Linked DNA regions of Callithrix jacchus. The protein of the gene in region 1 purifies or fractionates together with the protein of each later gene. This does not show direct contact. Links are inferred from orthologs where the notes say so. Each region holds a gene or a part of one and is shown on either strand. Other genes may lie near its edges. The genes, in order: CDKN2A, CDK5RAP3, CUL2, CCND1, UBE2I and TOP1.

Evidence for each region.
Region 2: the proteins of CDKN2A (region 1) and CDK5RAP3 purify together in Homo sapiens (affinity purification with western blotting; 3 studies listed by BioGRID). This does not show direct contact. The link is inferred for Callithrix jacchus from reciprocal best matches to the Homo sapiens genes CDKN2A and CDK5RAP3.
Region 3: the proteins of CDKN2A (region 1) and CUL2 purify together in Homo sapiens (affinity purification with western blotting; 3 studies listed by BioGRID, with this or other methods). This does not show direct contact. The link is inferred for Callithrix jacchus from reciprocal best matches to the Homo sapiens genes CDKN2A and CUL2.
Region 4: the proteins of CDKN2A (region 1) and CCND1 purify together in Homo sapiens (affinity purification with western blotting; 3 studies listed by BioGRID and IntAct, with this or other methods). This does not show direct contact. The link is inferred for Callithrix jacchus from reciprocal best matches to the Homo sapiens genes CDKN2A and CCND1.
Region 5: the proteins of CDKN2A (region 1) and UBE2I purify together in Homo sapiens (affinity purification with western blotting; 3 studies listed by BioGRID). This does not show direct contact. The link is inferred for Callithrix jacchus from reciprocal best matches to the Homo sapiens genes CDKN2A and UBE2I.
Region 6: the proteins of CDKN2A (region 1) and TOP1 purify together in Homo sapiens (affinity purification with western blotting; 3 studies listed by BioGRID). This does not show direct contact. The link is inferred for Callithrix jacchus from reciprocal best matches to the Homo sapiens genes CDKN2A and TOP1.

Annotation. Positions count from the first base shown.
Region 1 is NC_133502.1:128,971,937-128,976,186, reverse strand, and holds the start of CDKN2A (cyclin-dependent kinase inhibitor 2A), read left to right. Parts: upstream 1-1,450; 5' UTR 1,451-1,526; coding exon 1,527-1,652; intron 1,653-4,250. UniProt on the Homo sapiens protein: Acts as a negative regulator of the proliferation of normal cells by interacting strongly with CDK4 and CDK6. This inhibits their ability to interact with cyclins D and to phosphorylate the retinoblastoma protein.
Region 2 is NC_133506.1:118,316,492-118,319,991, reverse strand, and holds part of CDK5RAP3 (CDK5 regulatory subunit-associated protein 3), read left to right. Parts: intron 1-227; coding exon 228-328; intron 329-700; coding exon 701-749; intron 750-957; exon of another isoform or gene 958-988; coding exon of another isoform or gene 989-1,004; intron 1,005-1,446; coding exon 1,447-1,625; intron 1,626-1,827; coding exon 1,828-1,964; intron 1,965-2,131; coding exon 2,132-2,276; intron 2,277-3,302; coding exon 3,303-3,413; intron 3,414-3,500. UniProt on the Homo sapiens protein: Substrate adapter of E3 ligase complexes mediating ufmylation, the covalent attachment of the ubiquitin-like modifier UFM1 to substrate proteins, and which is involved in various processes, such as ribosome recycling and reticulophagy (also called ER-phagy).
Region 3 is NC_133508.1:34,659,359-34,662,858, reverse strand, and holds part of CUL2 (cullin-2), read left to right. Parts: intron 1-637; coding exon 638-766; intron 767-869; coding exon 870-956; intron 957-2,914; coding exon 2,915-3,067; intron 3,068-3,500.
Region 4 is NC_133511.1:126,559,004-126,563,144, forward strand, and holds the start of CCND1 (G1/S-specific cyclin-D1), read left to right. Parts: upstream 1-1,341; 5' UTR 1,342-1,424; coding exon 1,425-1,646; intron 1,647-2,338; coding exon 2,339-2,554; intron 2,555-3,044; coding exon 3,045-3,204; intron 3,205-4,141. UniProt on the Homo sapiens protein: Regulatory component of the cyclin D1-CDK4 (DC) complex that phosphorylates and inhibits members of the retinoblastoma (RB) protein family including RB1 and regulates the cell-cycle during G(1)/S transition.
Region 5 is NC_133513.1:3,569,106-3,572,605, forward strand, and holds part of UBE2I (SUMO-conjugating enzyme UBC9), read left to right. Parts: intron 1-1,091; 5' UTR 1,092-1,102; coding exon 1,103-1,168; intron 1,169-1,356; coding exon 1,357-1,440; intron 1,441-2,655; coding exon 2,656-2,728; intron 2,729-3,500. UniProt on the Homo sapiens protein: Accepts the ubiquitin-like proteins SUMO1, SUMO2, SUMO3, SUMO4 and SUMO1P1/SUMO5 from the UBLE1A-UBLE1B E1 complex and catalyzes their covalent attachment to other proteins with the help of an E3 ligase such as RANBP2, CBX4 and ZNF451.
Region 6 is NC_133506.1:36,462,147-36,465,646, forward strand, and holds part of TOP1 (DNA topoisomerase 1), read left to right. Parts: coding exon 1-67; intron 68-1,182; coding exon 1,183-1,251; intron 1,252-2,075; coding exon 2,076-2,190; intron 2,191-3,500. UniProt on the Homo sapiens protein: Releases the supercoiling and torsional tension of DNA introduced during the DNA replication and transcription by transiently cleaving and rejoining one strand of the DNA duplex.

The DNA.
Region 1 (4,250 bases):
TTAACCTCCTGAGTAGCTGGAATTACGTGCGCCACCATGCCTCGCTAATTTTTGTATTTTTAGTAGAGACAGGGTGTCACCATTTTGGCCAAGCTGGTCTCCAACTCCTGACCTCAGGTAATCCACCTGCCTCGGCTTCCCAAAGTGCTGGAATTACAGACGTGAGTCACCACGCCCAGCTCCAAACCATTTTCTTTTCATGCCTCAAAACAGAATTGCATATAATAAAATTTAAATTAAAAAAAAGCACAGAATTGCAAGCCAATCCTCAAAATGGACAATTCAAGAGATAACAGGTATTATTAGCTTAGGGTATGCGGCACTGTTCTTAAGGTTCATATGTATTAATACATCAATTCATTTAAATTCACAACAACTCCTGTAAAGCAGGGGGCACTCATATTCCCCTACCCCTTTATAACTAAAAAAAAGAATGCAAGGTATTTTCAGTGGGAAGGGGAAATGTGCGTGTGAAGGAGACAGAACAGTGTGTAAAGCTGATCTTTGAATCACTGTGCAACTCTGCCTCTAGAACACTGAGCACTTCTTCTGGTCTAGGAATTATGACTTACTCAGAATGGAATCCGTCCTTCCAGTACTCCCTCCCCATTGGTACAATTCTCCCCTGTCCGTGGCACAATTCTCTCCTGTCGTATTAAGCAAACCTCATTTTTTCAGAGTCTGCCCTTATACCAGGCAATGCACATGTGTGAGAAATCCACGCCCTAGACAGCCGTTTTGCACATAGGAGGGGAAGGGGCAGGGAAGGAGAGAGCAGGCCGACTCTCCAAAAGGAATCCTTTGAACTAGGATTTCTGACTTAGTGAACCCGGCGCTCTCGAAAATCAAGGGTTGAGAGGGTAGGGGGACGCTTCCCAGTCGCACAGGTGATTTTGATCCTCGCTGGGCTCTCACAAACAGAAAAGAATAGTTTTGCTTTTTCTTATGAGTAAAAGAAGAAGCCATACTTTCCCTGTGACTCCAAATACCCTGATTCAATTTGGCAGTTAGGAAGGTTGTACCGTGGAGGAAGGAAACGTGGGCAGGGGGAGGGGTGTGGGGGGTGCGAAATTTCTTTTTGCTCTGAGACGAAAACGCGCGGTTGCTGGGAAGGCGGGGTAGCAAGGCCGGGAGCAGGGCTGCCGAAGGGCGGTGTAGGAGCAGGTGGGGAGGAGTCCAGCCTTTCCTCGCCGCCTCTGGGCTCCGGCGGGCGAGGGCCGCTTCCGGCTGGTGCCCCCGGGGCAGACCCACCTTGGGGCGGCTTCAGGGGTGCCACCTTCGCAGCGAGTGAATAGCACCTCCTCGGAGGACTAGCGAACGGCGCCCCCCCGCCTGGAAAGATATAGCCGTTCCGCCGGAGGAGTCGAGGGACAGCGTCCCGGGTGTTGGGGGTGGGGGCTCTTCCGCCCGCCCTCCCGGGTGGAAGAAAGAGGAGGGGCGGGCTGGTCTCGAGACTGCAGTGCGGGCCGCGAGAGCGCTGCAGGAGCGGAGAGAGGGAGAGCGGGGAGCGAGCAGCCGGGAGCAGCATGGAACCTTCCGCGGACTGGCTGGCCACGGCCGCGGCCCGGGGTCGGGTAGAGGAGGTGCGGGCGCTGCTCGAGGCGGGGGCGCCGCCCAACGCACCGAATAGTTACGGTCGGAGGCCGATCCAGGTGGGTACAGGGCCTGTAGCGGGAGCAGGGGGTGATAGGCGACTCTGGAGGACGAGATTTGCAGGGGAATCAAGTAGCGCTTTTATTCTGGAAAAAGAGAGGCTTCCTGCGCAGTTTTCAGAAGAGGTCTGTAATCAAAGACCTGGTCTTCTGGGGGCCCTGGGAAGCCACGGAAGGATTGAGGAGGCCCGCGCGTGCAGATCTCTGGAATGCTGTAAGGATCTGAAGAGGGGGGAAATATTTGTATTAGATGGAGGTATGCTCTTTATCAGATACAAAATTTACAAACGTTTGGGATAAAACGCGAGTCTTAAAGAAATGTAGGATGTACTGGAACTATTTAGCCCTGAATTCACAGAATCCTGGATGGAGCTTATCTTTCTTGCTAGGAGGTATTATCAGTAATAATCTATCGTGTATGTTGGAATAAATATCGAATATAAATTTATGATCGAAATTATTCAGAAGCGGCCGGCTGCGGTGGCTCACGCCTGTAATCCCTGCACTTTAGGTGGCCGAGGCGGCCGGACCACAAGGTCTGGAGTTGGAGACCAGCCTGGCCAACATGGTGAAACGCCGTCTCTACTAAAAATACAAAAATCAGCCAGACATAGTCGTAAACGCCTGTAATCCCAGCTACTCGGGAGGCTGAGGCAGGAGCGGAGGTTGCAGTAAGCCGAGATCACACCACTGCACTTCAGCCTGGGTGAAAGGGTGAAAGTCCGATAAATAAAAGAAAAGAAAGAAATTATTCCGAAGCAACTACATGTTGTGTTTATTTTTAAGTGAGTAGGGCAAAAATATATGTTTGCTGTAGGAACTTAGGAAATACAGATAGATAGATGCATATAATGAATCACATTCATGTGATCACACCAGATGTAATATGTAGTTACCATTTTGGGATTATCTGCTGACATTTTTGCTGTTTTTGCTATCTTTAGCTTTCTTGATATAATTTATTTGTGATAGAGTTTTAGAGATTTTTCATTTCCTCATTTTTGAAAAGTAGTGTTTCTCCTCTCCCCACTCCAGTTTTGTGAGGGGTTAGGGGATGATTTAAAAGTAATTAATGCCTGGGTATCTTTGCATCTCTAAAATTGTAACAGCAGCTTGGACCTGGAAGTTTGGCATTGTAGCCCTAAAATATTGTAGAAGAGACCTTATTTGTTTATAAGCAAAAAGGGAAAAGAAAAGTGGATAGTTTTGACAATTTTTAATGGGGAAGGGAGAAGAACATGTAGAAAAGGGGAAATGACGTTGGCTTAGAATCCTAACTACATTGATGCTTAATATAGAAACTTATTTGTATAACATTTTTAAGTACTAAATTCATATTAATTTCTTATTAAATGTGTTTAAGCATCCTACACATTTTCATTCAATTGATTCATTTTCTTTTTGCTTTGGATTTCTATCATGATTTAAATAATTACATATGGGTTACTTTTTAGATTTTTCATACTATGAAATATAAGAAAAACCATTAAGACTAGTTTTATGACCGAAATGAAGGACTTCATTGAACACACAAAACAATAAATTTACTGCAATATTTTGTCTTTTTGTAGCTGCAATTTGGTTTCTTGTACTTTCTCTTTGTCTCCTTGAAAAATAACTCAGTTTCACTTTCTTAGGACAGGATTTAGTAACTACAGTATAATTTAGTATAATTCTTTGATTTAGGCAAATTATACAATTTGTGTTTAATACAAAATGTGCCTAAAAATAAATAATTCTTCTTTATAACACCACCATCCTCAAGCTGATATAACAAATAACAGTTATCTCAAAATAAATTATCTGCTTCTACTATCATCTACCACATAATACTCAAATTTTAAGGTTGCTATGACTGCAGACAGTGTTTTAAAATTCCTCTTTGGAAATGGCTTTGTTTTCAAGATGATTTAGGAACCAAAGAAGTGACCATCTCTTATTTAATGAACTCTCAAATTATAAACCTGGAAAGTGTTTAAGTTTCCTATTGCTACTGTTACAAATTATCACAAATGTAGTAGTAAAGCAAACACAAAATTATTATTTTATAGTTCTAGAGATCAGAGGTCAAAAATGGGTCCACAGTGCTGCATTCCTTTTGGAAACTCTAAGGCAGAATCTGTTTTCTTGTCTCTTCCAGCTTCTGGTGACCATCAAATTCCTTAGATCATGGCCCCTGTATTTTCTCTCTGGCCTCTGATTCTAATATTTTCTCTCTGACTGTGACCCTCTAATAAAAACACTTGGGGTTATGTTGGGCTTACACTGAAAATTCCAGATAATCGCCCTCATGACCATTAATTCAATCACATCTACAAAGCCTCTTTTGCCACCTAAGGTAATATATTAACAGCTGTTGAGGATTGGGGCATAGATATTTGTGGGGACAGGGCATTATTCAGCCTACGACAGAAAGGAATTTTAGGACTAATTAAGACTAGCCATCTTGTTTTATATTTGAAGGAATTGAAGTTTTGGAATTGGAGAGCATTGTGCTAAATGAAATAAGCCAAACACGGAAAGACAAATATCACATGTTCTTACTTATTCGTGAAATATAAAACAATTTAATATTTCGAAGTAGAGAGTAGAATGGTG
Region 2 (3,500 bases), on another chromosome or scaffold:
TCAGCTGAGCTACTCCCTTGTTATTTAGCCACCAGGGCTGGCCTTTAGAGAGAGAGCAATTTTTATTTGAGGTATAGTTGCTGGCTTCTTCCACCATGAAATGATCAAAGGAAAAGCTACACACTAAAGTTACTGGCAGTATATTACACATGAATCAACTACCAGCAGTGGCCAGAGTAGGTGAGGAAGATATTGTAGTTCTCAAAGTCCTGTCTCTTGCTTTCCAGACATTCACTACTTTCACTGCCTAAGAATCGTGGACCTTCTCAAAGGCACAGAGGCCTCCACGAAAAATATTTTTGGTCGATATTCTTCACAGCGGATGAAGGCAAGTGTGGGCCAAGGGCTGTTAGTATGTGGCTGGGGACTTCCAGTCCAATGAGTCATCGCCTCTGTGGTCTCTCTCAGGCTCCAGTGGAGATGCCTACATACAATATTTTCTGAACTTTTGCTCTGTCTCTGTAGTTTATTCCAAAAGTAGATCCTACTCCTGAATTTAATTTTCAGACCCATTACTTTGGGGATCACCTGCACTCTTAAAGTGGTTGGTCCAGCCAGCAGTATAAGTTGAAAGAAGGACAAGGAATTTGTGTTTAATGTGATGTGAAAGCTGGGAGAACTTCCCCTGTTTAGGGATTGAGCTGGGATGTGGCTGTTGAGTGCTTTTCTGGCTTAACATCCTCTTTCTGTTCTTACTCAGGATTGGCAGGAGATCATAGCCCTGTATGAGAAGGACAACACCTATTTAGGTAAAGTGGCCCAGCCTGGGAGCCCTGGTATCTGTGGGGAAGCCCACTTCCAGAGTCCTGAGATACCAGGTTTATAGGAGGCACAGTCTGTGAGTGGGAAGAAGCTGGAGTGTAGATGTTGCCTATTTGTAGGTGGTAAAATCAATTGGTTTTGATGGAATTGATTTTCCCACCCACAGATTGATTTTCCACTGGGTGGAATGCTGGGGGAAGGAGGAGGCCGGAAGTGGGCATTCGCCATGCCTCAGCAAGCAGGTGTGTGTGTGGGTCCTCCACCACTCACCTCTTGGTAAGGAGAAGTGTGCAGCTCCTCCCACCCCATTCTACATAAGGCAGAAGAGGCACAGGTTCTCCTGGGAGCAATATCAAGTGCCTAACTTGTGTTTGGATTGGGTTTAGTATAAATAATAATAATGGCTAATATTTACTGAGCACCTACTAAATGCAAGGAATTGTGCTTGGTGTATCATGTGGATTATCTTTTGCATTTTCACAATAAATGTTATTGTCACTGTTTTACAGATCAGGGTTGGATTAGAGGGGTTAATTAACTTGTCTTAGGCTCCACAGCTGGTAACAGGAGGGGCTGGGAAGCTGACCTCATGCTCACCACCACCACAAAGCGTGTGTGTGCATCCTGGGACATGTCTACCTCATGTGAGGGTGTCCTGGGCTGAATTTCCTGGGCCCTTCTCAGTGGAACTCTCTAGCCTCCTGGTTCGGAATGTCAACTATGAGATCCCCTCACTGAAGAAGCAGATTGCCAAGTGCCAGCAGCTGTGGCAGGAATACAGCCGCAAGGAGGAGGAGTGCCAGGCAGGGGCTACCGAGATGCGGGAGCAGTTCTACCACTCCTGCAAGGAGTATGGCATCATGGTGAGCAGTGGTGGCCTCTTTGCAGCCAGAGGACACCTGGGCCCCTGTCTGTCTTCCTCTGACCCTGTCTGATCCCTCAGCCCAGTTGTGCCTCCTCTGGGCCAGGGTCTCACTTTTCTCCAGTCTTTGGATGTTTTATTCAGTCTGTTGTACTCCGCCTCTCACCACTTCTGTCTCAGTTCCCCTCTTCTTCCCTCTCTAGGGTGAAAATGTCCGAGGAGAATTGCTGGCCCTGGTGAAGGACCTGCCAAGTCAGCTGGCTGAGACTGGGGCAGCAGCTCAGTCCCTGGGGGAAGCCATCGACCTGTACCAGGCCTTTGTGGGGTTTGTGTGTGAGAGGTAAAGAGGCCTCAGTTTCTCCTGGTGGGCTCATTTTGCCTGTGTTCCCCAGCTCATGTCTGTGAACCTGTGGGGGCCTTGCACATTTGACCATGTGACCCAGGCCAAAGCCCAGTGTTGGCCTCATGCATGGTCGGCAGGAGAGTTAGTTGTGTGCTCTGTTGAAGCTCCACAGAGCAGGTGTTGCCAATGCTGCAGTTCGTGCAGAAGCGGGGAAATTCAACGGTGTATGAGTGGAGGACAGGAACAGAGCCCTCTGTGGTGGAGCGACCCCACCTTGAGGAGCCTCCTGAGCAGGTGGCAGAAGATGCGGTAAGATGGGCCTTGTGATGAGCTGTGGGAGAAGAGTGGGACCTACTTGTTTCCTCCCCACCCCCAACAGCCCAACCCAAGACCTGGATTCAGAGTCCCAGAGGGAAGAAAGGGGGTTTTGTGTGAGAGTGACTGTAGGTACAAGGGCCCAGGAGGCCCTACTCCCTTACTTTTATTTTTCTGAGTATGTATTTTTCTTTTTCTTTTTTTGAGACAGACTCTCACTCTCTTGCCCAGGCTGGAGTACAGGCACAGTCTCAGCTTACTGCAACCTCTGCCTCCCAGGTTCAAGTGATTCTCCTGTCTCAGCCTCCTGAGTAGCTGGGATTATAGGCGTGCGCTACCCCACTCAGCTAATTTTTCTATTTTTAGTAGAGATGGGGTTTCACTGTGTTGGTCAGGCTGGTCTGAACTCCTGACCTGGTGATCTGCCTGCCTCAGCCTCCCAAAGTGCTGGGATTACAGGCAGGAGCCACCACGCCGGCCCTAAGTATATATTTTTCTCTGTGAGTGCTGCAGAGGCTTTGCAAGGTGGTTCGCTTTGAACTCGGAACCTCCATCATGCGATCTTTCTGAAGATGGGCTTTCTTTGGGGGAGCTTAGAGGCCACTGTATTTGAACAGTGTGCTCTCTACAGAAGCAACTGAGGCCTATGGGAAGGCAGCCCCACCCTCCTTTTTTAATTAATTTATTTTTGAGACTGGGCCTTGCTCTGTTGCCCAGGCTGGAGTACGGTGGCATGATCTTGGCTCACTGCAACCTCTGCCTCCCATCCTCAAGTGATCCTCCCAAGTCAACCTCCCTAGTAGCTGGGACTACAGGCATGCACCACCACTCCCAGCTAATTTTTTATTAACATCTTTGTAGGGACAGGGTTTTGCCATATTGCCCAGGCAGGTCTCAAACTCCTGGGCTGAAGGGTTCCAGGGGAGCCTCCCAAAGTGCTGTGGTTACAGACATGAGCTACCATACCCAGCCCTTTTTAAATTCATCTTTCATGAGCTAACACTCTCTTTCCGTTTCTAGATTGATTGGGGCGACTTTGGGGTGGAGGCAATGTCTGAGGGGACTGACTCTGGCTTCTCTGCCGGGGCTTCTGGAATTGACTGGGGCATCTCCCTGGAATCAGACTCAAAGGTGAGGAGGCCCTCTTAGTCCATCTCTCTGATCACTACACTAACCATAAGACAAGTGTAATTTCTGTCTGTAAAGGCATCACTTGAA
Region 3 (3,500 bases), on another chromosome or scaffold:
AAGTATTTTATTTTACAAAGTTTGGGTTTTAACATGTCTATTTTGAAATAATTTGCATTACTTTTCATGTAGATTCTGTTAAATCTGAAATCTAAAGGAAATCTGCTAATAAAGTTTGGGTAACCTTTGACGGAAACATAATTTTACATGGTTTTTGTAACATTTTTTAAAAGTACTTCTTCAATGTCAAATTATAAAACCACTTGAAACTCACCTGGGTGTTCTTTTAAAAATGTATGTTACTTATATCAGTTGCTTTATTGGTCAGTAAGTGATGACTCAATGTTGGAACTTGTTCTAGTTCTTTTTAAAAACTTTATGATGTATATTTTATTTAGTTTGCATTTATGATTATTACGTAGAGCTTTTGAAACCAGGTGTGGTTGTGCACGCCTGTAGCCCGAGCTACTTGGGAGACTGAGGCAGAAGGATCCTTTGAGCCTAGGAGTTTGAGACCCCAGTGAGCTATGATCTTGTCCCCTGCAGTTCAGCCTGGGCACAGAGCAAGACCCAGTCTCTGAAAAAACAGCAAAAACTCTGTCCATTGAACTCATTTTGTATTACCACTTTGCCTTGGTTGAGGCGTGATATATACAGAAGCACCCTTTGTAAGATTTATTATCAATTTCTACTTGAGCTTGCTAAGTACTGTGACAACTTACTGAAGAAGTCGGCGAAAGGAATGACAGAGAATGAAGTGGAAGACAGGCTCACCAGCTTCATCACGGTGTTCAAATACATTGATGACAAGGACGTCTTTCAAAAGGTATGTTGTGAACAGAAAAGTTTATTTGTGTTTTAGTCAACTTTATTACTGAATGCTAAATCATTAGAAAGGAAGTAATCCTAAAAAATTTTTTTCAATGTAGTTCTATGCAAGAATGCTGGCAAAACGTTTAATTCATGGGTTATCCATGTCTATGGACTCTGAAGAAGCCATGATCAACAAATTAAAGGTAATGTAAGTCTTTAATCCTGTACTGTCCTAGAAATTCATTCACAAGCACATGAAGATGTTCATTGCAGCATTGTATGCAGTAACAGGAAACAATTCATCTGGTTCAGTGTATGTTCATATATTCGCACAGTAGGGTATACAAATACTGTATTAAAAGAACAAGATATATATGTTTATACGAAGATTCACAGCTGGGCACGGTGGCTAATGCTTGTAATCCCAGCACTTTGGGAGGCTGAGGCAGGCAGATCACTTGAGGTCAGGAGTTCAAGACCAGCCTGGCCAACATGGAGAAACCCCATCACTACTAAAAATACAAAAATTAGCCAGGCATTGTGGCACATGCCTGTAATCCCAGCTACTTGGGAAGCTGAGGCAGGAGAATCACTTGAACCTGGGAAGTGGGGGTTGCAGTGAGCCGAGATCATGCCACTGAACTTTAGCCTGGGTGACACAGCTAGACTCCGTCTCAAAAAAAAAAAAAGATTCACAAGCTAATCAGTATTAACAATAAAAGATTATTGCTATTTATAAATGAATACATGTAAAATATTCCTTTAAGTACAGTTTTGGAATGCAGTTCCATTTCAGTTTATTTTTACCTCATTTCAGCTTGCTTATACACTGACAAGTAAGTGGTAGCAGGTTCTTACTTATCTTGTGTTATTCAATAATTAAATTTTTTTGCATAGTAGACATTTTGAATATAATATGTGCTCCTTTTTCTTTTTATAAGAGATAGGGTCTCCCTATGTTGCCCAGGCTCGCTCTAACTCCTCGACTCAAGCAATCCCCTCACCTCAGCCTCCTGAGCAGCTGGAACAACAGGCGTGTACCATTGCTTCCAGTTGCTGTGTGCTCCTTTTTAAACCTACAAAAAAAACCTTAGCTTTTAATTTCTAAAAGTAGTGTTGGTCAGGCATGGTGGCTCATACCCATAATCCTAGCACTTTCGGAGGCCAAGGTGGTAGATTGTTTGAGCTCGGTAGTTTGAGACCAGCCTGGGAAATGGCAAAACCCTGTCTGTACCAAAATTACAAAAGTTAGCCAGGTGTGGTGGTGTGTGCCTTTAGTCCCAGTTACTCCGGTGGCTGAGGTGGGAGGATTGCTGGAGGCTGGGACGTTGAAGCTGCAGTGAGCCATGATCACATCACTGCACTCCATCCTGAGTAACAGAGGAAGACCCTGTCTCTAAATAGATAAATTAATTAATTGCAAAAGAAAATGGAACACAGCTTTTTATGTTTCGAGATTAGAGATTCAGATTTTCTGACCTGGTAATGACAGAATTTTGAATAATTTGAAAGAAATAGTTTTCTTTGTCACTCAGTAGATGCTATTAAAAATATTCCTAAATAGCTCTTTTTCAGTTTTCTATTGGCTGGAGTATTCCCAGTAATCATTTATGTAATCTTTTATTTGATACTGTCTGTAAACCTTATAAGACCCACAGCTATAGCATATGCCAGGAGACCCGCTACTGGGAGGCTGAGATAGGAGGATTACTTGAGCCCAGGAGTTTGAGGTTGTAGTGCACTGTGATGGCTCCAGTGAGTAGCTACTGCACTGCAGCATGGGCAACAGTGAGACCCCGTGTCTTTAAAACAAAACATAACAAAATCCTTATACGGTATCTTATATGTATTAATGGGGCATTTTGCAGTGCTGAAATAAGAGATGACTGTATTAAAAAGTTTTTGTTTAAGGGGAGGTTTATTGTTCGTAGATAGGTGGTTTTCATTCACCTATTTAAAATGTACCTTTAAAAAGAAAGGCAGTTTGAAAGGTTTTGATTAGTTGCTTTGGGTTGTGAAGAATATATTACTAGTCCTTGGGTGTAAGTGTAAATGCAAGGACCTTTGACCAAAGACCTAGCAATAGTGACACATTCTTATTAACCAATATGACTTACTGTTTTTCTTTTAAAGTCATATATTTTCTAAAACTTTTTTATAGCAAGCCTGTGGTTATGAGTTTACCAGCAAGCTACATCGGATGTATACAGATATGAGTGTCAGCGCTGATCTCAACAATAAGTTCAACAATTTTATCAAAAACCAAGACACAGTAATAGATTTGGGAATTAGTTTTCAAATATATGTTCTACAGGTATGAGTATGTGTTTTACTATGACCATTTATTAATCATTTCAGTACTTTGATACAAAGGATTCATTAATGGATATCCGATTACATTTGGTTCTGTTAGTAGATCGTGGCTTCCAAAGTTCTATTGATTTGGGCTGGGCGTGGTGGCTCACACCTGTAATCCCAACACTTTGAGAGGCCAAGACGGGCAAATCTCTTGAGCTCAGGAGTTCCAGACCAGCCTGGCCAACATGATGAAACCCCATCTCTACTAAAAATACAAAAATTAGCTGGGCGTGGTGGTATGTGCCTGTAATCCCAGCTACTGGGAGTCAAAGGCAGGAGAATCACTTGAATCCCAGAGGCAGAGTTTGCAGTGAGCTGAGACTGTGCCACTGCACTGCAGCCTGGGTGACAAAGCAAGACTGTCTCAAGAAACAAAGAAGTCCTATTGA
Region 4 (4,141 bases), on another chromosome or scaffold:
TCTGCCGGCTTGGATATGGGGTGTCGCCGCGCCCCGGAGTCCCCCCTCCTCGTGGTCTCCCTAGGCTGCGTGTGGCCTGTGGGGCTTCCCAGTTGTCCCCTACTGCAGAGCCACCTCCACCCCACCCCCAAATCCCGGGGGACCCGTTCGAGTCGGACCGGGCCCCCTGTACCCCTCTTTTCTGGCGGGGAGAAAGGCTGCAGCGGGGCGATTTGCATTTCTATGAAAACCGGACTACGGGGGCAACTCCGCCGCAGGGCAGGCGCGGCGCCTCGGGGATGGCTTTTGGGCTCTGCCCCTCGCTGCTCCCGGCGTTTGGCGCCCGCGCCCCCTCCCCCTGCGCCCGCCCCCGCCCCCTCCCGCTCCCATTCTCTGCCCGGCTTTGATCTCTGCTTAACAACAGTAACGTCACACGGACTACAGGGGAGTTTTGTTGAAGTTGCAAAGTCCTGGAGCCTCCAGAGGGCTGTCGGCGCAGTAGCCGCGAGCAGCAGAGTCCGCGCGCTCCGGCGAGGGGCAGAAGAGCGCGAGGGAGCGCGGGGCAGCAGGAGCGAGAGCCGAGCGCGGACGCAGCCGGAACCCACAGCCCTCCCCAGCTGCCCAGGCAGAGCCCCAGCCATGGAACACCAGCTCCTGTGCTGCGAAGTGGAGGCCATCCGCCGCGCCTACCCCGATGCCAACCTCCTCAACGACCGGGTGCTGCGGGCCATGCTGAAGGCGGAGGAGACCTGCGCACCCTCCGTGTCCTACTTCAAATGTGTGCAGAAGGAGGTCCTGCCGTCCATGCGGAAGATCGTGGCCACCTGGATGCTGGAGGTGCGGGGCTTCGGGCGGCTCTCTTAAGACCTCCCTGCAACTTGTTGCCCATACCCACGTTTCTTTGCTTCTCACTCCCCTCTCTTCTCTCCCGCTAGACCTTTGAAGTTTGCCGGGGTGTTGCTAGGTATTTTCAAAATAAAAATTGTGGGTATTTTCTGAAGAAGGAAGGGGTGGGGGTGGGGGTGCTAGGAGTTGCGTTTCCTGGGACGGGAGGAGGGGGTCGGGGAGGGGTGCCTCCAGGAGAAGCCAGTGCCAGGAGCACCCCAATGGGCCCGAGGGTGCGGGCTGGCAGGTTAGGTGCGCTTTGTGCCCCCCGCCTGCGCCCCAGCCATGCTGCGGCTCCTCTCCCGGCCGCCGCGGCCGAGAGCCTCCAACTCCGGGGGGAGGGGGCATAGATTTGATTTTTAAATTACTATCCATGGACACGTATGCAAGGGCTTCTCGTGCCAGTATTATGCGCCATCTTTGCTCTTTTATTGCACAGCAAAAGTGTTTATTAATAATTGGGGGCAGGGTGGGGGCGGGGAGCGGCCGCCGGGCGCTGGGGCCGCAACTAGGGGCCCGGCGGCTGCCCGGAGCCCGCGGGAGGGGCGCGGGGACGCAGCATGGGTAGTTTTGGGGGGACCCCGCTGGGGAAAGGGGGGCCTTTGTTCAAGCAGCGAGTCCCAAAGCGCCCCGCACGGGCAGCCTGGGCCGGAGAGCACGCCGAGCTGCAAGGTCGCGTGGCCCCCAAGACGCCAGGGCTGGATCCCCGTCTGCAGGGATCTCGGCTTGGGGGACCTTCTCCGAGCGAGCCGGGGGCCTGGGAGAACATTTTCACACCTTCGGTAGGCGCCTGAGGGGCCCGCAAGTATTTTTAAATAATTTTTGAAAGTGCGGCGTGGTGCCCTTGCGAGAGGGAAACACCGCCCGCGCCCAGGGGGAAGGGGGTCCCCGGAGTTTGAATTCCTGGGGCTTCCCCCGGACCCTGTAACAAACTCCCGACCCCCGGCCTGGGTAAAGGGCCGTCCGAGGGTCATTTTCAGGGTATTTTTACGCACTTAGTTATTTTTTAAATATTTTTAAATATTTTTTGAAAAGATGACGTCTGGGGAAATGCGGCGCGGCGGCCTGGGACGCCACCTTTGTGTCTCGCAGGCGCGGCGCCCAACCCCGCGGCCTTTTGCGCGGCCCCGCACCCCAGTGGGTGTCGACCCACAGCCAGAGGGGCCACGGAGCTCCAGGGCGGGCTGGGGTCCCCGGGGCCTGCAGCCCGCGCCGCCGCCCAGCTGTGCCCGCTCCCGCCCCCACCATGCCAGCCTCGCGGGGACTTTCCCTTTCAGTTTCAGGGAGGGTGGATACTCGGGACGCGCGCGAGAGGGGGCGCATCACAGGAAGCTTCTGCCGCCCCCGGCCCCGACCCCTCGGCGCCCTCCAGAACTGGTGGTCCTGCCGAGCGCGATGGGCATGCGAGGGCGGGGGAGTGGGGTGGGGGTGGCGCGACCTGGCGGCGGCGGTCACGGGCCCCGTGCCCCCGCAGGTCTGCGAGGAGCAGAAGTGCGAGGAGGAGGTCTTCCCGCTGGCCATGAACTACCTGGACCGCTTCCTGTCGCTGGAGCCAGTGAAAAAGAGCCGCCTGCAGCTGCTGGGGGCCACCTGCATGTTCGTGGCCTCTAAGATGAAGGAGACCATCCCCCTGACGGCCGAGAAGCTGTGCATCTACACCGACAACTCCATCCAGCCCGAGGAGCTGCTGGTAACCGCGGGACCCCCGCCGCCCCCCGCGAGCCGCAGGACCACCGGGCCGGGGAAGGTGCAGGGGCGGCAGGCGGCCCCTTTGCCGGGTGTCCTCGTCCTGGGAGCGGGTGGGATCCTAGCCGCCCCGTGCGCGCTTGCCTGCGACTCCCACCTCGTTAGCGCTCTGCGGTGTGGCCGAAAAATGGGCGGCGCGCGCCCTCCAGCGGCTGCACCGGGAACGCCGCGCTCCACGCTGAGCCTTCCGTTCCAGGTGGTGGGAAGTCTTTTTGTTTCCACTTGCAGAATCTTTTCACGCGGCGGGCGCCTTTTCTGTTTTGATCTGGGATCGTGTGTTGCCCCAGCTTCCTGGACCCCCCAGCATTCGCCAGTCCTGCTCCCGCACCCCCAGGACCACACGAGACTCAGGGGCTAGGGCCATACTGCCGGCTTCCCCGCGTCCCCAGGCCGGCCCGCACCTCCCCTGATAGCCGCTCACCCTGTGTTCGCAGCAAATGGAGCTGCTCCTGGTGAACAAGCTCAAGTGGAACCTGGCCGCCATGACCCCGCACGATTTCATCGAACACTTCCTCTCCAAAATGCCAGAGGCGGAGGAGAACAAACAGATCATCCGCAAACACGCGCAGACCTTCGTTGCCCTCTGCGCTACAGGTAGGGCAGGCCCAGCCGCCCCCAGCCTCCCCTTGAAAGCCAGCACCTTAGGTGGCCTGGCCAGCTTCTTGCTCTGCACCTGGGTGCTGTCCCGGAGGACGTCCCTAGGCCCCCGCCTGCGCTGGGAAGAGTTCTTCCAGCTCTGGTGAGCAGAGGTGCTGGCTTGTTTGCGCTGGATGGAAGGGGATTTGCCCTTACGGCCGCGCCACCACGCAGCCAGCCTGCCTGTGTCTAGATGCTGTGGCCTCATCCTCCAGGCCGAAAGGGGTTTACCTTGGCCGCAGGGCCGCCTCCTTTCCCCACCGACCTCCAGCCCTTCTTGTGTCCTTAAGGAGCCTGAGCTGCGGGGGCCCCCTCCTGGCCTCTCCCAGGCTGGGCGACTTGCCAGAGGCGCCTCCGGGGGCGGGGAGAGCTGTCGGCCCGCCTGCACCACGTGTTCTGGGCAGCTGAGTGCAGGGGTGTCCAGCAGAGGAGCTCAGCTGCCTGAGGCCCTGCCAGGGGTGCCGCCAGTCTGCTGGGCTCAGCTGAGCCCTGGGGAGCACTTCAGAGCAGTCTCAGCTTAGGCCGCCACCGTGGGCAGCAGAAGTACCCAGTCCTCACCTCCGCTGGCATGGCCCTGGCCCCAGGACCCAACTGGGATAGACACATGCATACACAGGGTGCTGCCTCCTGCTGTCCCCAGCCCTGCCTCTGACCCCCCTGTGCGCCTCCTTCCCTGGTTACCCTGATGGGGGGGCCCTGCCCCCTTTTGGTCAAGCCTCAGTTGTCACATCTGTTTGTGGGCTCACTCTGGGTGACAGGCCACAAGGTCCGGGACATCAAAGACACAATAGCATCTTCTCCCCCAATCCCTTGAGGGCAGAGCCCCCCCAAACCTATTTCAGCGCACCCTCTGACACAGGTAGCCAGCAGTTAGTGTATTATTCCAGAATGGTTT
Region 5 (3,500 bases), on another chromosome or scaffold:
CCTCCACGGGTCCCACACCATCCAGGTCACCAGGGCCCTTGTGCCCACCTAGGACGGCCCCCCTACAGCGTAGAAGGCCTGGCGGAGTCCTCAGCTCCACAGAGGTGCCCCCCTTTGGTGCTGAAACACCAGAGTTGAGGGCGGCTGCAGCGTCCCTGTGGACTTTGCTAACCAGCACACACTTAGGTTTCGATTCTCCAGCAAGTCGGTAAACAGAGTGCTGTTTCCGTGAGTAAAGGTGGCCACCAGCAGGGTGACCGTCGAGGGTGGCGTTGAGGCTGCGGGCCCCGCCCCCTGGTGTCCTCAGCGCCAGGAACATCTCCCTGGATCTGCAGCCCTCCTGCGGCGACAGTGCGGTCCAGCATGCTCCCACCTAGAGCCATAAGGCAAAGGTGCCCGGCCCCTGAGCTCCCATCCAAATGTGTGCCACTTCGTCTGGCCAGGGATCTGGTCCCCTATGCCGAGCTCTGCTCTGCCCGGCAGGACCCGGCTGTCCCCTGAAGCCACAGGTTTGCGGTAGTGGCTGTGGGGTCTGGGAAGGGTGGCCCTGTGGGGGCTCCTCCCACAGCAAGTCTGAGCCTCTGCCCTCTGGTGCTTCTTCCGTCCTGTCTTCAAGAATAACAGGAGTCCACTGGCCGATGTCTCAGTTCTGAGTGCCCAATACTAAGTCAGGGACCCAGTACCCCACACACACCTGGGGACCCAGCCCTGCCTATTCCCCACCTGGTGGTGTGGTGGGGACCCTGCCATGCCAGCCACCACAGGGTGGCAGCTACCACCTAGTCTCTGAATGTCTGTTTTGTCCCCATGGAGCAGAGGCCACACCATGTGCCACAGATGGGGGCATGGTGGGGGTGGGCACAGGGAAGGGATCTTACCTGCCCCCCACCCCGGCAGGTGATCTGGGAGCCACTCACAAAGCCTCCCCTGGTGGACCCCAGGGTTGGACAGCGGCTTGCAGAAGAGTCCTGCTGAGCTGGGCCAGCAGGTGTTGGAGCAGGTCCACCTGCTGCGCGCCGGTGTGCGCGTGATCGGGCAGCAGGAGCCTGCGTCGCCTCTCCTGATGGCGTGCTCTGCCTCCTGTGTTGCAGGGACTCTGAACATGTCGGGGATCGCCCTCAGCAGACTCGCTCAGGAGAGGAAAGCGTGGAGAAAAGACCACCCGTTTGTAAGGAGAGCTTCATGTCCGTGTGCAGCGCAGTGGGCAGTCTCCCGGGTTGAAACTGTCACGTCCCTGCCGGAAGGGAGCCGGCCACGTGCCTGTGCCCAGCCACTGGGACTCACAGGCGGGTTCTCGGTGATCTTGGTGAAATGATGCCACCGCGCTGATGGGCTTTTGTGATTGTTTTCTCTCAGGGTTTCGTGGCTGTCCCAACAAAAAACCCCGATGGCACGATGAACCTCATGAACTGGGAGTGCGCCATTCCAGGAAAGAAAGGGGTAAGAGGCGCACGCTGCCGGCCTCCGCCTGGCGGGGCCCAGCACCACAGGGAAACCACTCAGATCCCTGCCGTCCGTGACAGCCATCCTTGTCACAGGTCAAATCCCAGCTCTGTCCTGGCCCCTGCCCCATCGGGACGTGAACGCAGAAGGTGGGACTGGCAAGGTTTGACAGCTGTATCCCCTCCCAGGGCAGTTCTGGTTGAGAAGGAAGCAGGCTGGCACCTGGCCGGGCACAAGGCTGAGCTGTGGCAGCAGGGAGGGGCTCTGATGTGTGTTGGGAACGCAGAGCTGCACAGGCGAGGTTGAGAGCAGGTGGAGAGGCAGGAGTCCTTCAGGATTCGGCTGCGTCCTTCAGCGTGTGGCTCAGCTTTCGGGAGCGGGTTTGTAGGGGGAGCCAGCCCTGCGTAAAGCCGCCTCCTGGAGACCCCCCAGGGACCGGCGGCGTCTGCCTGGGCGTCCTGCTTGGGGACCCCTGTGTGTCCCTGGCAGGCAGCACAGCCCATGTGCCTGTCTTCTTTGGCCCGCGCACGTGAAGCGCCTGGCCGGGGACTCCAGGCTGCGGTGCACGTGCAGTTCATGCTTGTTGATTCCGAAGGGAGCGGAGAGACCCCTGAGGTGCTGGTCCTGCCTAAGGCCTCGTTCCCTCCGGCTCTGGCCCCGCTCTGGGTTTCTGTGAAACTCAGAGCAGCTCTGGTCCCCTGAGCTCAGCAGCCCCCAGGACTCTGCCTTGCCCGAGACATAGCGTGGCTTGGGTTCGTCACTTGTCCGAGGCTCTGATGAGGACGTCCTTGCCCCTCACGTTAGGGCGAGGCTGGTGCACAGCGCCAAGGAAGGTGGAAGGTGGTGTGGGGTCGTGGGCGGCAGAGGTGCCTCGTCCAGGCGGGATGGGGGTGGGTGCTTGGGAACACCCCTGGGGTGAGGGCAATGCTGTGCTCTTGGTGCCCTTGTGCCAGCCCCAGTGTGCGGTGCTCTGCCCCCAGCCCGGCCCCCACCTCCCGCCTCCACTCCTTTCCAACTTACTCTGGGCACAGCAGAGGTCCTGACAGCCCTCTTGTTGAGGCTGTTCCAGGCTGCAGGCTGGTTTAGGAGCTACCTCTGTTGGGCCTCTGGCCCCTGGTGTCCTGGGGGCTGTGCCTGAGAAGCAGGCCCCTTCCTCCTGGGCCGCCCTGTGCGGGCGAGCAGCTCATCTCACCACGGTTTATTTCCCATTAGACTCCGTGGGAAGGAGGCTTGTTTAAACTACGGATGCTTTTCAAAGATGACTATCCATCTTCACCACCGAAATGTGAGTACCTCGCCATTCAGTGCCCTGGAAGGCACCCCTGGCTGCGGCCGTGGCGCCCTGGGCTGGGTGGTCTGCGTGGAGCTGGGAGGGAGATCACAGACCGGGAGGTCGCCTTTGATTCTTGATCCCGGCTGGGCTGCAGATTTGAGTCTGTTTCCAGCTCCGGGGCCGGGCGGTGCACACAGTAGGTTTAGTCTTGTCCTGGCTAATGGGCTGGGAAGCTCCAGAGTCTTGTGCACGGAGGGACTGAGAGCCAGGCCGGAGCTCCTGGACTGGGAGTGCCTGGAGCCTCACTGAGGACAGAGGACTTGGTGACCGCACGACCCTGCCCTGGATGGATGGATGTGCAGAGGGACTGCCATGCAGTCTCACCCTCTGAGGAGTTCTGTCGGTCCACCTTCTTACTGCTCCTGCTGTGTGGTCTCTTACGGTCTGTCCCCACCGTGGCTGCGTCTGCAGCCTGAGCAGGTATAGAGCAGGTGACAGCAGAGGAAGCATGGGAAGAAAGGCTGTGGCCAGGCCCCAGATCCTGCCCATAGCTAAGCTGATGACCTCAGCCAGCCAGTGCAGCAAAGCTCAGGAGGGAGGAGAGGGCCGCCGGGTCCCCGCCCTCCCATAGCTGGCAGTCGGCAGGTGGTGTCCAGTGAGTTCCACGCGTCAATGCACCCAGCACCTAGAGAGCGCCTGGCCATGGTGAGGCGACAGTTGAAAAAGCTTTCCCCTGTGATTGTCAGTCGAGGCACACAAGCATTCCACCGTGGCACCCACCCTC
Region 6 (3,500 bases), on another chromosome or scaffold:
GGTAGAGTTTGACTTCCTTGGAAAGGACTCCATCAGATACTACAACAAGGTCCCTGTTGAGAAACGTGTAAGTTAATTTAGCCTGTATTGTCTGGCTTGTTTTTCATTATTCAACAAGCATTGCTTGAGTGCTTTGTGTCCTCTGCAGTTTGCTGGGTACCAGCAAAAGTGACTTGAGACAGGCATTGTAGCACATGCCTGTAGTCCCAGCTACTTAGAAGACTGAGACAGGAGAATCACTGGAGACCAAAAGTTTGAGGCTATAGTGTGCTCTGATCACACCTGTGAATATCCATTGTACTCCAGCCTGGCCAACAGAGTGAGACCCTGCCTCTAAAATTAAAATAAATAAATGACTTGAAAGAGGGGAGAGGTAATATTTGATGTCTTGTGTACCTCCTTTTAGTCACTGTCCCACCCTGTATTACCTTTCTGATAAGGACATTTGTCACTTGGCATCTTTACTTAGCCTCTCTCCAACTCCTGACTGAGTGAAAGGTTAATCTGTTAGTCCCCAGATCCCACCACTGAAGAGGGTGCTAGAGCTCCATAGTCCCAACCTGATCTTTTCCAAAGTATTGGGCTGGAACCAGAGACCTGTAGTGTGCAGGATACTAATAATCCAGCCCAGCAGCAGTCTCAGATTTAATCAGTAATTAGACTTTGCTGGCCGTGGAAGAGTACTCTATTAGATGCTAAAGCGATTTGACAATTAAATGTAATGCCTGACCTCAGATTGGATTCTATACTGATGAAGTAAAGGGCATCATCAGATAAAGTGACAAAATTGGATTGTGGACAGTAGATTAGATAACAGTAGGTATCAATGTAAATTTTTGAAGCTGATAAATACTGTGTAAATGTAAGGGTATATCTATTTTTACAATGTACAAACTGAAATATTTAGGGTTAAAGGACTGTATGATAAGTAAGTACTTATAAATGGCCCAGAGCAAATAATTATGTATATATATCTGTAAATATACATGCGGAGAGAGTGAGCATACATGTGCCCTGTGCAAATGATGAATGAGGTAAAAGGTTAACAGTGAATCTGGGTGAAGGATGTATGCATGTTCCTGTGCCTTTTTTTTCTTTGCAAGTTTCTGTAAGTTTGGGATTATTTCTAATGTAAGGATTTTTTTAAAAGAGTAATAATTGGGATTCACTTATTTCTTTTAGGTTTTTAAGAACTTACAACTATTTATGGAGAACAAGCAGCCTGAGGATGATCTTTTTGATAGACTCAATGTGAGTAGACAAAGCACACTGGGTTGAAGGGATTCCCAGCCAGAACCTCAAGGGGAGGGTTGCTGGCAGATAACGGGCTCTTCCTTTAGCCTGGCCTGCTCTGTGGCATCCTGTATACTCTCTCTTCCTCCCTCCAAGCCCACGGTGAATCTGTGGCCAAGAGAAGACACATCTGCTGTAGAACAAATGCTAAGGCCCTCAAGGTGAGAGTAGATGAACCCTACCTTTTATCCCTTCCCTGCTCCTGCAGAGCTTTCCCTTCACTGAATGCCCAGCCATCCCTACTGGAGACCCAAAACCTGTGCCTGAGATCTTGATAGGGAAGGACAAATTTGCTTTATTGGTCTGTTAAGATCAAAATACTGGGCCAGGCTTGGTTGCTTACGCCTGTTATCCCAGCACTTTGGGAGGCCAAGTAGGGCAGATCCCTTGAGGTCAGGAGTTTGAGACCAGCCTGGGTAACATGGCAAAATCATTATCTAGGCGTGGTGGTCCATGCCTATAGTCCCAGCTACTTAGGAGCATCAGGAGGATTTCATGAGCCCAGGAGGTGACGGCTGCAGTGAACCGAGATTGCACCACTGCACTCCAGGCTGGGTGTCAGAATGAGACCCTGACATACGTACACACACATGCACACTGAAATACTTCATAGAGAGGCATTATGTAACCCTGTATTCTGGAATTCTTTTCCTAACTTCTCACTTGTAGGGAAATAAACTTGACACGATTGTGACTGCACTGGTATAAATTACTCCTAGGGCTGCCAGAAGGAGCAGGTAGTACAGCTTTGACCTAAGTCTCTGTTACATTGTCTCCTCCAGACTGGTATTCTAAATAAGCATCTTCAGGATCTCATGGAGGGCTTAACAGCCAAGGTATTCCGTACATACAACGCCTCCATCACGCTACAACAGCAGTTAAAAGAACTCACAGCCCGTAAGTATTACTTGGCTGGACAGGGCCCACACCCCTACTCATGGTATCCGGTGTCCTTGCTTAGCTAAGTCCTAGAGTCAGTTCTACTTTTTTTTCCCTACCATTGTGATCAGACACTTTTCCTCTTTAGACCTCTAATAGTTAGCTAATGCTTAGTTGTATAAACTTAAGATCAGTGCTGTTTCCCCCTTCCCACCCCAACTTCAAGATTAATTTCATGGATTGCTGACAGCTTTTTACCTGCTATGAAAATACCTGCATTTGTGTTTTATTAATATATTACTTAAAAGCTCACAGAGTGAAGGCAGTGCTGTGATGTTCTGTTAAATTGAAGAGAGTAAAGTTGTCATGTTTATGAGAAAGATACAGGGATAAGTCCTTTCCCTAAAGTTTCTATCATTTTTTTTCCCTGTAAGAGAGTAGATACTTTCTATAGCCAATTTTTAGAATATTATCACCAAGATCACGGACTTTTTTTTTCCTGGAGCCCAGTCACTAATGAATTTCCACTGCCCTCTGTAAATACGTCAAATGGCCTTAGAATATGAACCAGAAAAGCCAGAGGTAGGTATGTTCAGGTCAGTGTTTTAAGGTGATAGAAAGAATGCGACACTGTTTATACAAGTAAAAACAATTTTTTTGGATGACATTTACAATTTTTCTTTTTAAATAATATACTACCAGGCCAGGTGCAGTGGCTCACACCTGTAATCCCAGCACTTGGGTAGCTGTGGCAGGAGACTTACTTGCACCCAGCAGTGTTCCAGACCAGCCTGGGCAACATAGTGAGACCTCATCTCTACAAAAATTTGTAAAAATTAGGCAGGTGTAGTGGTAGTCCCAGATACCTGGGAGGCTGAGTCCAGGAGTTTAGGGCTGCAATAGCCACAACCATACCACTGCATTCCAGCTTGGGTGACAGAGTAAGACCCAATCTCTAAAATAATAATAATCATAATAATACTACCACTCATAGCTTAAATTTTTTTAACTTTTAACATCTCTTCAGTTCCTCATTTTGTTCAGGCTACATTGGGTAGAGAGATAGGGAGGCAGGGAGGCAGGGAGTGGCCAGTATAGAACTTAATGAATATGGGCAACAAACCATAGTAATAATAGCAGCAGCACCTATGACAAGCATATGGGTAGGGAGGAAGCAAGGAGATGAAGGGTCCCTAGCCAAGTTCTCTGAGTAAAAAGAAAGGTGTAGATTTTATTATATTACCTCAGAGTTCCTCTTGTGATGGGAATTTACCCAGGCCAAGCTTACATATTAACTTCCTATTTTCTTATGACTGTTGGCTCAAATT